Linked DNA regions of Stegostoma tigrinum. The protein of the gene in region 2 purifies or fractionates together with the protein of the main gene of each other region. This does not show direct contact. Links are inferred from orthologs where the notes say so. Each region holds a gene or a part of one and is shown on either strand. Other genes may lie near its edges.

What was found. The genes of interacting proteins can lie anywhere in the genome.
Region 1: the proteins of hectd1 (region 2) and smc4 purify together in Homo sapiens (affinity purification with western blotting; 3 studies listed by BioGRID, with this or other methods). This does not show direct contact. The link is inferred for Stegostoma tigrinum from reciprocal best matches to the Homo sapiens genes HECTD1 and SMC4.

The regions. Positions count from the first base shown.
Region 1 is NC_081367.1:27,392,854-27,400,653, forward strand, and holds the start of smc4 (structural maintenance of chromosomes protein 4), read left to right. Parts: upstream 1-4,767; 5' UTR 4,768-4,883; intron 4,884-4,919; exon of another isoform or gene 4,920-5,027; intron 5,028-5,828; 5' UTR 5,829-5,836; coding exon 5,837-5,978; intron 5,979-7,439; coding exon 7,440-7,618; intron 7,619-7,800. Other genes in the region: ift80 (intraflagellar transport protein 80 homolog), read right to left, coding at 3,179-3,218. UniProt on the Homo sapiens protein: Central component of the condensin complex, a complex required for conversion of interphase chromatin into mitotic-like condense chromosomes.
Region 2 is NC_081363.1:60,981,076-60,987,999, reverse strand, and holds the start of hectd1 (E3 ubiquitin-protein ligase HECTD1), read right to left. Parts: upstream 3,054-6,924; 5' UTR 2,762-3,053; intron 2,553-2,761; exon of another isoform or gene 2,263-2,552; intron 2,144-2,262; 5' UTR 2,019-2,143; coding exon 1,879-2,018; intron 1-1,878. UniProt on the Homo sapiens protein: E3 ubiquitin-protein ligase which accepts ubiquitin from an E2 ubiquitin-conjugating enzyme in the form of a thioester and then directly transfers the ubiquitin to targeted substrates.

The DNA.
Region 1 (7,800 bases), on a different chromosome or scaffold from region 2:
TAACATAGCTTTCATCTTCTTGAGATAAAGGCTAACATTTCTTTAGCCTTTGTAACAAACATTTGCGCCCATCCACTAGATTTAAAGTTATTTCTGTACTTGGATATCAAAGTCTATCCAATCATCCAGATTTCTTAGCTTCTCACCATTATAAAACTATTCCAATATATGTGCCTTCAGGCAAAACAAATGGAAGGATTTTCTATTGTATGTTAAGTCCAAGCTGCATGACTTCAATTGACCCACATTTTGCCTATCCTAGTAATGTTTCGTAGCAACTTTTCATCCCATTTTACAGTCTGCTGTGCCACATAACTTAATGCTGTCAGCAAATTTGGATATACAGCTACCTATTCCTTCATCCAAGTACTATTACATAGCCAACACTAACAGTAGGATGCAATTACAACGTAACATGTTTACTTATACAGCCTACAACATAAATGTTGACATAGAAATTTACAATTAAAAACACCTTACCCCAATGTGGCAGAAACAAGATAATCAAAAGCTAGAGATAATGGGAAATGCAGATGCTGGAGAATCCGAGATAACAAAGTGTGGAGCTGGATGAACAAAGCAGGCCAAGCAGCATCTTCGGAGCACAAAAGCTAACGTTTCAGGCCCAGAACCTTCATCAGAAAAGGGGGATGGGGATACGGTTCTGAAATAAATAGGGAGAGGGGGAGGCGGATCGAAGATGGATAGAGGACAAGATAGGTGGAGAGGAGAGTATAGGTGGGGAGGGGATAGGTTAGTCTGTGAAGGACGGACAGGTCAAGTGGGTGGGATGAGGTTAGTAGGTAGGAAATGGAGGTGCGGCTTGAGGTGGGAGGAGGGAAAGGTGAGAGGAAGTACAGGTTAGGGAGGCAGGGATAAGCTGGGCTGGTTTTGGGATGCAGTGGGGGGAGGGGAGATTTTGAAGCTTGTGAAGTCCACATTGATGCCATTGGGCTGCAGGGTTACATTGATGACTGTATCGGTGCTGCCTCATGCTCCCAAAAGGAGCTCGAACAGTTCATCCACTTCAACACCTTCCACCCCAACCTCAAGTTCACGTGGACCATCTGCAACACATCCCTCACCTTCCTGGACCTCTCTGTCTCATCTCCGGAAACCACCTAGAAATCGATATCCATTTCAAACCCACCAACTCCTACAGCTACCTGGAATACACCTCCTCCCACCCACCTTCCTGTAAAAATTCTACTCCCTATTCCCAATTCCTTCGACTCCGCCACATCTGCTCCCAGGATGAGGCATTCCACTCCTGTACATCCCAGATGTTCTCGTTCTTCAAGGACCGCAACTTGTCCCCCACCCCCCACAGTGATCAAGAATGCCCTCAACCTTGTCTCCCACAACTCATCTCTCACATCCTGTCCCCACAATAACTGCCAAAAGAGAATCCCCCTCGTCCTCACATACCACCCCACCAACACACCATCCTCCGACACTTCCGCCATCTACAATCCATCCCTACCACCAAAGACATTTTTCCATCCGCACCTTTGTCTGCCTTCCGGAAAGACCACTTTTTCCGGGACTCCCTTGTCCGCTCCACACTCCCCTCCAACCCCACCACATCCGGCACTTTCCCCTGCAACCACAGGAAGTGCTACACTTGCCCCACATCTCCTCCCTCACCCACATCCCAAGCCCCAAGATGACTTTCCACATCAAGCAGATGTTCACCTGCACATCTGCCAATGTGGTATACTGCATCCGCTGTACCCATTATGCTTCTTCTACATTGGGGAAACCAAGCGGAGGCTTGGGGACCACTTTGCAGAACACCTACGCTCGGTTCACAATAAACAACTGCACCTCCCAGTCGCAAGCCATTTCAACTCCCCCTTGCATTCCTTAGATGACATGTCCATCCTGGGCCTCCTGCACTGCCATAATGATGCCACCCGAAGGTTGCAGGAACAGCAACTCGTATTCTGCTTGGGAACCCTGCAGCCCAATGGTATCAATGTGGACTTCACAAGCTTCAAAATCTCCCCTTCCGCCACTGCATCCCAAAACTAGCCCAGCTCGTCCCCACCTCCCTAACCTGTTCTTCCTCTCACCTATCCCCTCCTCCCACTTCAAGCCGCACTTCCATTTCCTACCTACCAACCTCATCCCACCCCCTTGACCTGTCCGTCCTTCCTGGACTGACATATCCCCTCCCTACCTCCCCACCTATCTCCTCCTCTATCCATCTTCGATCTGCCTCCCCCTCTCTCCCTATTTATTTCAGAATCCGCTCCCAATCCCCCTTTTCTGATGAAGGGTCTAGGCCCGAAACGTCAGCTTTTGTGCTCCTAAGATGCTGCTTGGCCTGCTGTGTTCATCCAGCTCCACACCTCTTTATTTGAAAGCTAGGATTTGCAGACGTGAAGTAGATTCTTAACATTTCACAAAAATTATAGTAGACTTTAAAGTAGGTCAATAAAGGAGAACCAGGGAATTTTGGATCTGAATAGAAATTCATTAAAAATTAATTTAGGATTGTTGTCAGTTATTTTTGTTTTACTTCAAACTGCAATAAATTACCATAAAAATCAAAACATTCAGGGCATCCAAAATATAATTAGATATGATTAATATGGAGTTGCTATCATGCTTGAAGTGAGCTTTAACAGAATGATTAGTGGTGTCTAATCTCTGAAAAAAAATTATGTAACAGCTATCAGAGTGACTGTTTTGTTCAAACTCCATTCTGTTTATTAAGGTGACCAGTGAATATCCAGAGTTGGCTGATAAATAACTAATTTCATGATAACCAAAGTAAAATTACATTAATCAGATTACCTCTTACACAGCAGATCCCCACGTTTTTAACTTCCTGTATTCTTGGCACTGTTCACTACAATATGCCTCATTCCTCTATAAACCATTTAGACAGGACTAGAACACAGTTGAGATGGATAATTTATTATAATGTTTTATTTATTTAAATAATGGAAACAAGGAAACAATATGTTCTATTTTGTTTCTAGTTACGGTAATTTTTAAAAAAATCTGAGACATGCAAATGACAAAAATGATAAATCTAAACCTACCCTGCCAACAGGCTGGATTTACTAATACTAATTTAAAGCTATACATTCTTCCAATTAATTTTTTTCTTTTATTTGTAACTTAATGCTCATTACAAAAGTTTAAAAAAATGAATTCATTGAAAGGATATGTTTCGGTTCCTTCAACAGCGATGTCTTCAGCCTCATTCTTTAGAAATTGAATTGGACACAATGATTAAATCAACTCCAGTAACAGAGGTCAACTCCACTAACTGCAACGTCTTCAGTGGCTGCCAAATTGACAAGAATGTTACCAGTTGCACATCATTGTTGAATATTAACACATTTTCAGTTTCAAATTAATTTTTATCAAACAGTCAAAAATGACCATTGGAAAGTGAATCCATTTTTACACAAATTAAAAGTGTACATAGCTACACAAATTGAGTATACACAGCATTACAATTATGTGACTATTTTCTTAGTATAACCCATTATAGCAAAAATATAAATTTGACATGGAATAATATTGCAGTAATATTTGGACGGAAGTATCAAACTCTAAGCAAGTTGCTTCTGTGCACATCATGAAATTTCTTCAAAATCTTACAAATCAACGTTTTAATTAATCTGTATGCCACAACAACAAACCTTGGTACTCTAATTTAGCACTTGTGCAAAATTTAGACAACATGCCAATATCAGTTACTCCCAAAACCTCATACCCGCAAAATTCAAACAGTGAGAAAACGCAAACACAGTAGAACTGAAAGCCCATTTTTTGAGATGCATTTCCTTGGTACATGTCACACAATCCGGACACCGCCAGCCATATAGAAAGTTATCAATACTGCCAGATTGTACCTATTTGGAAGTACGAATCCCCATTTTGGTCGAAACATTGCGAACCATCTTGATGCATTCTACAGTTGTAAATACAAACAAGTTCCAAATGTTCAACATGGTATTTCGAGCGATCATAAACAAACACTCCCTGACACTTCTGAACTGTCCACTGATGGATGGCAAGATTGAACCGAATAGGCCAAATGGGTTCGCTCACACAATACAACACATCAGTTGGCAACAAAAACCGAAAGAACTGCGGATGCTGTAAATCCGGAACAAAAACAAAGTTGGTGGAAAAGCTCAGCAGGTCTGGCAGCATCTGTGAAGGAAAAAACGAAGTTAACGTTTCGGGTCTGGTGGCCCTTGCTCAGAGGAAGGGTCACCGGGCCCGAAACGTGAACTTTTTTTTTCTCCTTCACATATGCTGCTGAGCTTTCCCAGCAACTTTGTTTTTATATATCACTTAGCAACAATATTTGCCCTATTATCAGCAGGAGCAGCAATGGGCCAGGATGTCATTTCATCTCAAACCCACAATCTATAAAGTCTGGTCCTGACGTAACCCTTTTACACATAAAACGATCGAGTGTTACACACACGTTTTTTTAAAAAAAAATGGACTGTACCAATTGACAAGCAAAGCCCACCGCTTTTACCTCGGCAATCTAAAGGAAGTCCCAGACCTCAGCAATTCGCTCAGAATCCGCTCCCCTACTTCAGTTAGGCTCCAAACAGACTACAGTCTCGCGGCGCCTCGCGAGACCGCCGCTCGCCGCTTCTTGGCAACCAACACGGCAACCGCGGCGAAAAAAGCAAACAGCTTATACTTTTTAATTTGATAATTACCAGCCCGTCGGTCTTCCTCCAAGACAACCAGCCTTGCCGCGAAATTAAATATTTATTTTGATTTTTAAAAATTTGGCATCAACCCCATTTTTTCAAACCGGCTTACCCACAATGCTTTGTCCCTCAACGAATTTCAGTCAAGTTTAGTTTTCGGCGCCATTTTCGACTGGGTCCGAGGTAAGCGCTTGAATTTTTCTCGAATTTATTCCTTTATTTTTTAATTTCCCCGTGCGAAAGTGGTCCCAAAATATTCCTAATATTTTTAAAAAAAAATAACAATCATTCGGCGCCGGAAAATCGAGTTTCGGAGTGATTTCCAAGGTATTGATGTAGTGGAAATGAAATCTGTTTTTAGCGGGATGAGATGCATGACAAATTTGTAAACATGTTGTTTCAGGGAAGTGGTTGCTATCTGCATTTTTTTAAAAAGCCCGGTTCCATTTATTGCATTGAACTAAACTTTTGAGAAATATGAACTGTCGAGTTCGTTAAATAATTACGATTGTTATCTCAGTCAGAATTTTAAATATTTTTCATTTTAGAATAGTTTTTTCTCCGATTCTTCCCTCCCCCCCCCCACCGCATTTTAGCTTTTGATTATTTTACTTGTTGGTGTGTTCTGTAAACTCAAACTACTTCATTTAAGCCATCGAACTAATATTAGACACAATTCATGTCAAATTTTGTTTTTTTTTAAAAAGTCTGTTCGTGCGCCTATTTAAGCTTAGTGACGTAGACTGCCTCAAATACACGTCGTTATATACAGCTTTTTTCATTTGATCAAATTGTTCCATTTTGAGTAAACGTTGTGTCCTTTCTAGTGAGATTTGTCTTTTATGTAATCTATACGGTTGACTTTTTAAATACAGTTTTTGTAACGTCATGATGTGGCGTTGGATTACAGTAAAGTACAGTAACTTTTCCTAATCTGGGTAGGGTTGCGGTAAATTTGGAATTAATGGGTTTTTTTTCAGGAGGTACTTTTTTTAGCCGAACTTTGATTTTTGTTTCAAAGCTTTTCTAAAGATATGGGCGTTGTGGGAATGAAAGGAATTGAATGGCAATGAAGGGATAACTACGTTTGCCTTGAGTTTTTTTTTGTTATAATAATTGCTGAACTAGGTTAAACCATGCCTGCCAAAACGAAGTCTTCTACAGCAAAGCAAAGCGCAAAACTGGGTCCGGGGGGAACTGAGCCCCTGGATGAGTTTGACAACGAAATGGATATCCAACAAAAGGCAACTGCATCAAATGTAGATGAAACTACAAGAGGTAATTTTTTCTTTGTCCGTGTATGGTTAATTTTATTTGTATTTTAAAATTTGTATTGTTAAAAATGAACGCATTTCATTTCTTGTATCTTTTTAATAAATTGAAGCTGTGATAATCGCTGCCGTTTAGTTCGTTTTGAAATTGGATTTAGCCGCCTAAAGTATGGCTAAACAGGTTGCCGATTCCATTGCCTATACGCCGAAATTGTTTTTGTAATCATTTTGCAAAAGTACTTCATGTGTTTTACCTTGGAGTTAACGGGTGTAGTTCCATTCAGACATGGGAGGAAAGCAGCCAACATTAACTAAACTTGTCAAGATCGTATTTGAACTCCGTAAGCTTCAATGACAATTGCAACGGATTACTTGTACCTAGAAAGTTGGTGCAGTAGATTTTTTTTAACCGGTTTTCAGCATAGGCTTGTAATAACTAGTGTTTACCCTGAAAGAAATATGTCCAGTCGTGTAATGGTTTACTTTTTTTCTTTGACAGTTTTTTTTTGCCCCTGACGCTGCAGCGCAATGGGGTTTGAGTTTTCTTTTCATTGTGTTCCCTTTTTTCCTTTGCGCGTTTTTGTACAGTACGTGAATTGTGGGGGGAGGGGTTGAGTTTCTGTAGCCTGGAGTACAAAACTGCTTTCGGAAGCTGCTGAAGATGTAAGAGATTTTAACCGAGAATTGATAAGACGTGTGATTTATATCTAATTACTTTCGTTTTTTACAAAAAAACGTGCGTCAGAAATTTAATAAAATTAGTCTTTTTCCGTTTTGTTGCTGCAGCAACTCCAAAACCAAGTATTTGGCAGGCGTACAAAACGCAATAGCAGCATTAAACTAGTGCAAGTTGAATACTTACTAGCCATTACTGCCGTACAGTACTTTTATGATCACTTTTTTCATGAATGCAAATTAAGTTCCTGAAATGTGATCTGTGGCAGTGTTTCACAGAGCATCCATATGATCTTGCATTGTAAATTAAAATATGTTATTGCGGCAGACTCTTCTCACAAGCATTGTTTTAAACATACACTTCAATTTATTAAATTAAACATAGTGCACTTCATTGTTCATATGTGTTGCCCATGATTATAAATATTGATTTTTTTTCATCAAGAATGGTGCATGAATAATTTAAAGAAAAATATAAATATTTGTCTGGAACTGTTTTGATCTATTAAAACAAGCCTGGGAACAAAATGTTTCTGATGGTCTTAATTTTTGTGGAACGTTGTTTTGTAATTGGACAATTTTGAGGTCATTTTGAACAGTTATGCATAACATTTTTGTGTATTAATGGTAATACCAAGTGGTATCTAACTTTTTTTAAACATCAAATGTGTGAAATGAATTGACTTTTTATAAATATTTGTGGTACAAAACTCTTGTTACATGAAATACTAAACATTATGCCTTGGTAGGATAGTGTTTAATTTGTTTTGTCTCTGTTTATATGTTGTCTCAGAATTACCAGTTGAACCAATAGATAATCGAAGCTTGGAAGAAATTTTGGCTGGCATATCTCCTCCTCCACCCCCAGCAATGACTAATGAACCCGGAGCTCCTCGACTCATGATAACTCACATAGTGAACCAGAATTTCAAGTCATATGCAGGAGAACAAATCCTGGGTCCTTTTCACAAGGTAACAGTTCACAAAAATTATACTGTTATCTAAATTCACTTTAAAAATTATGCTGTACTTAAATTCAAATCCAAAGTAATTTTTTAAAAATCAAATCGAAACATTTTGGGTGGAGATGTGAAACTGAGAAAATGCCTGGTCAGTTCCCTTAATTATAAAATTGACATGAATTTGAGATTTAA
Region 2 (6,924 bases):
TCACTAGAGTTTAAAAGAATGAGAGTGGGATCTCAATGAAACATATTGGATTCTGAAGGGATAACACTGTGGAGCTGGAAGAACACAGGAGGCCAGGCAGCAGAGAAGTAGGCATAGTTGATGTTTCTGGTCAGGACCCTTCTTTTCCTCCTCTTCCGACGCTGCTTGGCTTGCTGTGTTCCTCCAGCTCCACACGGTTATCTCTAACTCCAGCACTGGCAGTTGTTACTATCTCTGAGGATTCTAAAGGGGGTTGACAGAGTAAATAATGAAAGGATGTTTCCCACATGGGACAATCTGGAACCCGACGGCATTGTCTCTGAATAAAGGGGTGTCCATTTAAAATTCAGAGATGGAGGAATTTCTTCTTTCAGAGGGTTGACAGCCTTTGGAACTGCTTGCTACAGGCAGCTGTGGGCGCAAAGTCATTGTGCATGTACTTAATGCGGAGATAAATCAGTAGAGGAATTGAGAGTTATGAGGAAAGGGCAGGAAAGTGGATATGAGAAATGCCGAATCAGCTATCATCCTGCTGAATGGCAGAGCAGGCTTGAGGAGCCAAACCATCCAACTTCTGTTCTTATTTCTTATGACTTTTCAGTTTTATAGTTTCCGGTAGATAGTTCTGTTGCTATCAATGGCCGAGAGTGTTTGCTTACTATTTTATTTTCAGGCACCAAACCTCTAAAGACTCTACCCCATTTAGCTTGGTACTCGTGTCATACAGCATATGGGGAGTTTCCTCAGTATTAAGATGGAAATTGATCTCCCAGAGGATTGTGTGATGGCCACTCATACTAAGCCTGTCATGGACAGGTTCATCTGTGACAGGTAGATTGATGGAACAAAGTCAACTATGTTTTTTTATTTCTTCTTTCAACAAAATGCAATCAGAGATTCAGGACCAAGAGTGCCCTCCAAGCCTTTGTGATCCTCAGCAATTCCTTCAAGTCAGAGCCTGAGGGTTGACCTTATCGAGGTTTATGACGTCATGAGGAGCACGTATAGGGCGAACAGCCAAAATCTTTTTCCTATGAGAGTCCAAAATGAGAGGGAACACATTCAAGGTGAGGGCAGAAAAGATTTTAAAAGCTCCCAAGGGGCAACTTTCTCATGCATAGGGTAGCCAAAGGAAGTGGAGGAGATGGGTACAATTGCAACATTTAAATAGCTGGATGGGTGTTTGAGTACAAAGGATTTAGAGGGATATGGGCCAAATGCTGGCCAATGAGACTAGGTCAGATTGGGATATCTGGTTGGCGTGGAGCAGTTGGACCAAAGGGTCTGATTCTGTGTTGTATGACTACGACTATTAAGGTGAATGAATATCGTTGCCATTTTAACAGCGATGGATCTGAATCTAGCCAGAAGAGGTTATGCATATCAACTGTCAGGAAATCCATATTTCCAAACTTTCTGATTGAATCAATATCAGAAGTGACCCTTAAAAACACAGCCCATGTTTCTAACAATGTTTAATACCACAAGAACTCCTGTCTTCCAAGGTATTAAGTATGTCACATAACTCATTGCTGTTCCCAACCTAAAAGCAATTCGGCGTGTAATCACATCCATTTCCCTTGGGCAGCCACTTGCTCTGCAGAGCACGCACAATATCTCTGCGGTTGTGTTCGTAAAATATAAACTTTGTTGAAGCCATCGGAACGCAGATCTGAAACATTGTGAAATCCCTGGGTACTTCATAACCTTGTTCTCCCTTCTAATGCGTCACTTAGAGATACGATTAAAATAACTACCAACGCACAATTCTTGAAATTAAGAGCAAATATTAAAAAAAACAGCCCCAATCGAAGTTGGGATCCGGCAAAAGTCAAGTCAACAGAAAACGACCGACGACAAAATTAAAAGAAAACTTACGTTTCAAAACAACGATCCACATTATCGGACATGAGAAGTAACATGCACAGCTGCTCCAAGGCTATAAGCTGCATGTCCCTCTCGTCTCCCTGGCCCATTTGTAGCCATTCCAACAAGGTATCGGGATCCACATCGGCCATGATGAGATAGACCTCTTAAATCCCTGACAGTTATCCCCACTAATGTCCTCCTAAAACTGGGAGGCTGGTGGGAAAGTCCCTGGGAAGAGAGATCACCGTGTTTTCCACAACTGGTCCGAAAGAATCTAGCCAAAAAATAAAAGAAAGTACACGTTAACGGATTCTTTTTTGTGCATGTTATTTCAGTTCATCATCAATTCCCCCACTCTAAACCATCCCCTCGACCTTCCATGAAATAAATAACCTGAGAAAGTTTGGGCAAGCGATTTCCACCCGAAACTAACGCACTTGCCCGCTCAGGAGCCGCCATTTAAACATATTCGGCCTAAAGCTGGCGGATCAGTATTGTCCAGGCCCAGGCCGATGAGACTCAACAGCCGCCTCACGGGGACAGAGACGCAGGCCCCAGGCTGCCCGGTCCGGTCAACCCCGGGGCGGGGCGCTCGAAGGTAGTGACCGTGGCCGACGAGGCCCACTTAAACCGGAGAGGCCTGGGCCTCGCTTCAGCCTACCGCCCGGGCGGACACACAAAGAGACTCGGCCTGACCCGGAGATGATGATGATGATGATGATGATGATTGGGGGGGGGCGGGGGAAAGGAACAGGGTAAGACAGAGCAGTCCGTTGCGGCCGACTTCCCCTGGGCTAGCGCCTGGATTCTGACCGTAAGGCCTAGCGTCATCAAAGCCGGCTGGCCCCGAAAGCGACTCCTCGTCCCGTTCTCGACGACGGCGGCAATGTACCTCCACTCACCGGCTCTGGCTATCGGCGGCTCGAGAGACACCGCGGCATCATATCCTTTCCCCTCACTCTCCTCTCCCCCGCCGCCGCCGCCAGGCTGGCCGAAGTGTTCAAGAACAAGGGGCCGAGAGCACCTCCTGGTCGTGGGACCGAAACCGGAGCTCCAGGCACCGAATGCAGAGGGAGGAGGAGGAGGAGTAGGAGTGTCCGTTCCTCCCCTTTACCTAGGGAGCGACACTGAAACGCCGCGGCCTCTCACAAACGTCAAACCTTGTACGTCTCTCCGTGTGGTTATGTTTAATCTTGGAGAAATTAGATATAAAACAAACAACCACATTTCACCTCCTTTCGAAATACATGATGGGTGAGTCTTTTTTAAAAAAAAACACCTTGTGACCGTTGAATTAATTTCGTCGCTGGAGCCGTGAAAAACAAAACATGTTTTTCATTTGAGGCTGTGGAGTGGTGTGGTGTTCTCGGAGGGTTTCTCTGCGGGCCTGTTGGCAGAAGGACAGTTTCATCTGCCGTTAAGGTGAGTTTCGACGACGGACGCACAAATGAACGGATCGCTTCTCATCATTTCGAGGTAGATCGAGAGAGGCGTTTATCTCACAACGAACACCACAAAATCATATCATCTGACCGTTGTCATTGCTGTTTTTGTGCAGATTTGCTGTGTGCAAATTAGCTGCCATACTTCCTACAGTGCAGGCGTGACAATACTTGAGAAATGTCTCAGGTGAGGCCAAGCATTTTCTCTGATGAAGGGTCCAGGCCCGAAACGTCAGCTTTTGTGCTCCTGAGAAGCTGCTGGGCCTGCTGTGTTCATCCAGCTTCACACTTTGTTATCTTGCGATGACTTGTTCCTTTCAAGGTATCTCTTTTGACTCAGCCTTAGAAAGACATGGCTTATATACGACTCTAAAACATGTACTGTTTTTCATGAGCTTTTCAGATGCTATTTAGCTGAATAAAATACGTACAAGGGCACTTTTTCAAAGTGGTGTAGGAATGCCCAGCCAACATTCACCCCTCCACCCATTTCCTAAATCATACTGTTGGTTATTCGTAAACAGTTATCTTGAGAAAACGTTGAGAAAAAGTTGAGCATTAACCCAGTGGTATTTGGTATTGGTATTTGTGAATCAAATTCCAGCAATGGGTGAATAACCCTGCAACCTTTTAAATACCACAGGAGAGGTTAAGGCAAAGGGAGCAAAACATTATTTAAAATCTAGTACAGCCAAAGACAGAGTGATACTACGTTGGTCATTTTCCAGTTACTCCCGCAACCAAACGAGTATCAAACAATACGCTCTGTATTCCTTTAGAATCAACTAAGGAGTTGAACCCGGATCTTTGGGCTGCTCTGGGTCTTCGTACGTTTTGTGCAGAAGAGGATGTCTCCAGTGCTCCGTGGAATATTAACATAACATTGGAAACACCAGTTACAAGTGATAAGGCCAATTTCATTGCCATAGAAAGCTCTAGCTGTCAGCTGAGGTCAGAAGGTGCATTCTATGCTGCTAAGAAAAGCACCGTTCACTTCAAGTTGGGCAGTTCCCAAATAATGAGCTGCTGACTTGCCACAGGTCCATCTGCTTCAAAGGGGGCTTACGTCTAATAGCTCTTGCTCAACAAGCAAGTGGAATCTATCATACCAGGCAAACAAGTGAAAAACATGAAAAGAAAAAAGACACAAACTATTCTGTTAGTAGGCTTGAATGTCAGAACCAAGTGCCAACAGACAACTTGCAGCTGATGATAAAATGCAGAAGACAACAGTGATTCATGTGGAACTTGGACAGAATATCAACACAGCTTCCCTCCAAGACACCATATTCACAAAGAGTGGATCACTGAAAGAAAAACATATTCATCTGATAGGGAAGAGTTCAGAGCAGGTTTATGCGTCTGGTGTAGGTTTTGTTGTTAGGTAATTATTAATTTTGGTGATGGAACTCACTCCAGTTAGTTCAAAATATATTCTCCGCATCCGCTTCTGAACTCAAGCAGGGTCTGTTAACTTCATGGGCATCTGTGCTCCATGACAGAGGTGAAAGACAAGTTCTGTGAGGAGCGAGACACTGTCAGAAGAATCCCCAAGTCAGGATATCTTCATCCACTGGGGATTTCAGTGCAAGAGGGGATGCAGACCATAAGACATGGCCCTGCTGTCTCTGAAAGGTATATGAAAACAGACAGAAACAAATTAAGCTTCACCACTGTCACAAGCTTTTCAACACCTTTCAGAACAAGCCATACCATAATGTTGCCAGGAGACATCCAGGGTACAGCGTCCTGGAGACATTCTGGTGTGACCCAGTGGATGGAACCCTTGAAGCTTTTCTTCAAAGCAGAAATGTTGCCTTTGTATCAAGATCAAACATTTTGCCCACCATGTAAAAACCAACAGTTCCTCAACACAACACGCATTCACCAGCATTTCCACAATGAACACCAAAATAAAATGAAACATTCCATCAACGATATGCACTCTCAAAATATGGAAAGCAACACTAGGAAAGTGCTAACTGATAGAAGTCTGACATCTAACTGCCCTGTCAATATTCCAGCATTGGAACTGGAGACTTAACCTCCAGAACTAACCACATCTGTAGTTTAGCCGTTCAGTGTAGCTGTACACTGGCATCTAGCTGACAATGTGGAAAACTGTCCAAATATGACCTGTCCACAAAAAGCCGTACAAATCCAATCTGGCCAGTTGCCACGCCATCAACCATCTTTCAATTATCACCAAAATAATGGAAAGGTTTGCAACAGTGTTATCAAGCAGCATTTACACTGCAGTAACCTGCTCACATTATTATTTTGTGGTTCACCAGGACTCCTCAGCTGCTGCCTTCATTGCAGCCTTGGTCCAAACATGGGCAAAAGAACTGAACTAAGGAGGGGATAAAATCAAGGCAGTGTTTGCTTGAGTGTGACATCAAATTTAAAGTCAATGGGAATCAGGAGAAATATTCTGCACTGGTTGGGATCATACGTAGCACACAGGAAGATGGTCATGCTTGTTGGAGCCCAATTAGGGGATGTAATGCCCTAGTGGTATTATCACTGAACTGTTAATTCAGAGACCCAGGTAATGTTCCAGGGATCTGCATTTGAATCCCACCATGACAGATGATAGAATTTGAGTTCAATTAAGAACAGAACTGAAATTAAGAGTCCAGTGATGACCATGAATTCATTGCTGGTTGTCAGGAAAACCCCATCCAGTTCACTGGTGGCCCTTAGGGAAAGTGGAGTTAATATTCAATGTATAATTTTTTCCATAATATACTGAACATTAATTCATTTGCCATGGGCAAAGTTGCAAGTACTGATAGTGTACCATATGAACTCATAAAATATGAGAAACTGGTACTCTTGCAGCAACTGTGATAACTTCTCTTGCCTCTGCTGCAGAAATGGGGCAACAGCAGAATTGCAAAAATTTGCATGGCAGCTTCTTGTTCAACATCTTGAGCAAAGTATTTGGCTATTGTTGCCCTTGACAGACAGTAGTTCCTGCTGAATCCATTTACCTCAAATCCTAGTATTTTTCAGAACTGGAATTTCGACAGTTGTCATGAACTTCTCAGTCCAGCAACTGCAATAGCAACACAATAACAAAGGAGACCATTGTGCATTGCCTTCATTGATCTTATAAATGCATTCAGCCACGTGGACAGAGACAGTCCATTCAAGCTGCCATCCAAAATTGTTCAATGTGATCTCAACCATGACAATACAATGGGTAAGATCAACTACATAACAGAACAACATCAATACATAGTGCAGTTGGTGTTCTGGCACCGACAGTCCTTGGCATATTCATTCCTCACTTTGCTCCTGGAGTATGCCTTCAGGATATTCACAGAAACTGTCTCTTTACAGCCTTGTTCGTCTGAGTTCCAAGACAAAGATGCACCAAGCCATCATCAGACAGTTACTCTGCACCAACAGTGTTACTATCTTTCCATATTGAGGAATATCTGCAGCAGCAAATACTCAAAATCTTTATGATAATTCCCAAAAGGTCGGTGGGGAATCAGTAATTAATCTCCTATCGGAGCTTGTTGAGTACAAGTTCCCTCGGTAACAGGCAACGACTGACCCAGCTGAAAGTCATTGCCTGAACCTCACTGTTTCAGTAAGTCTA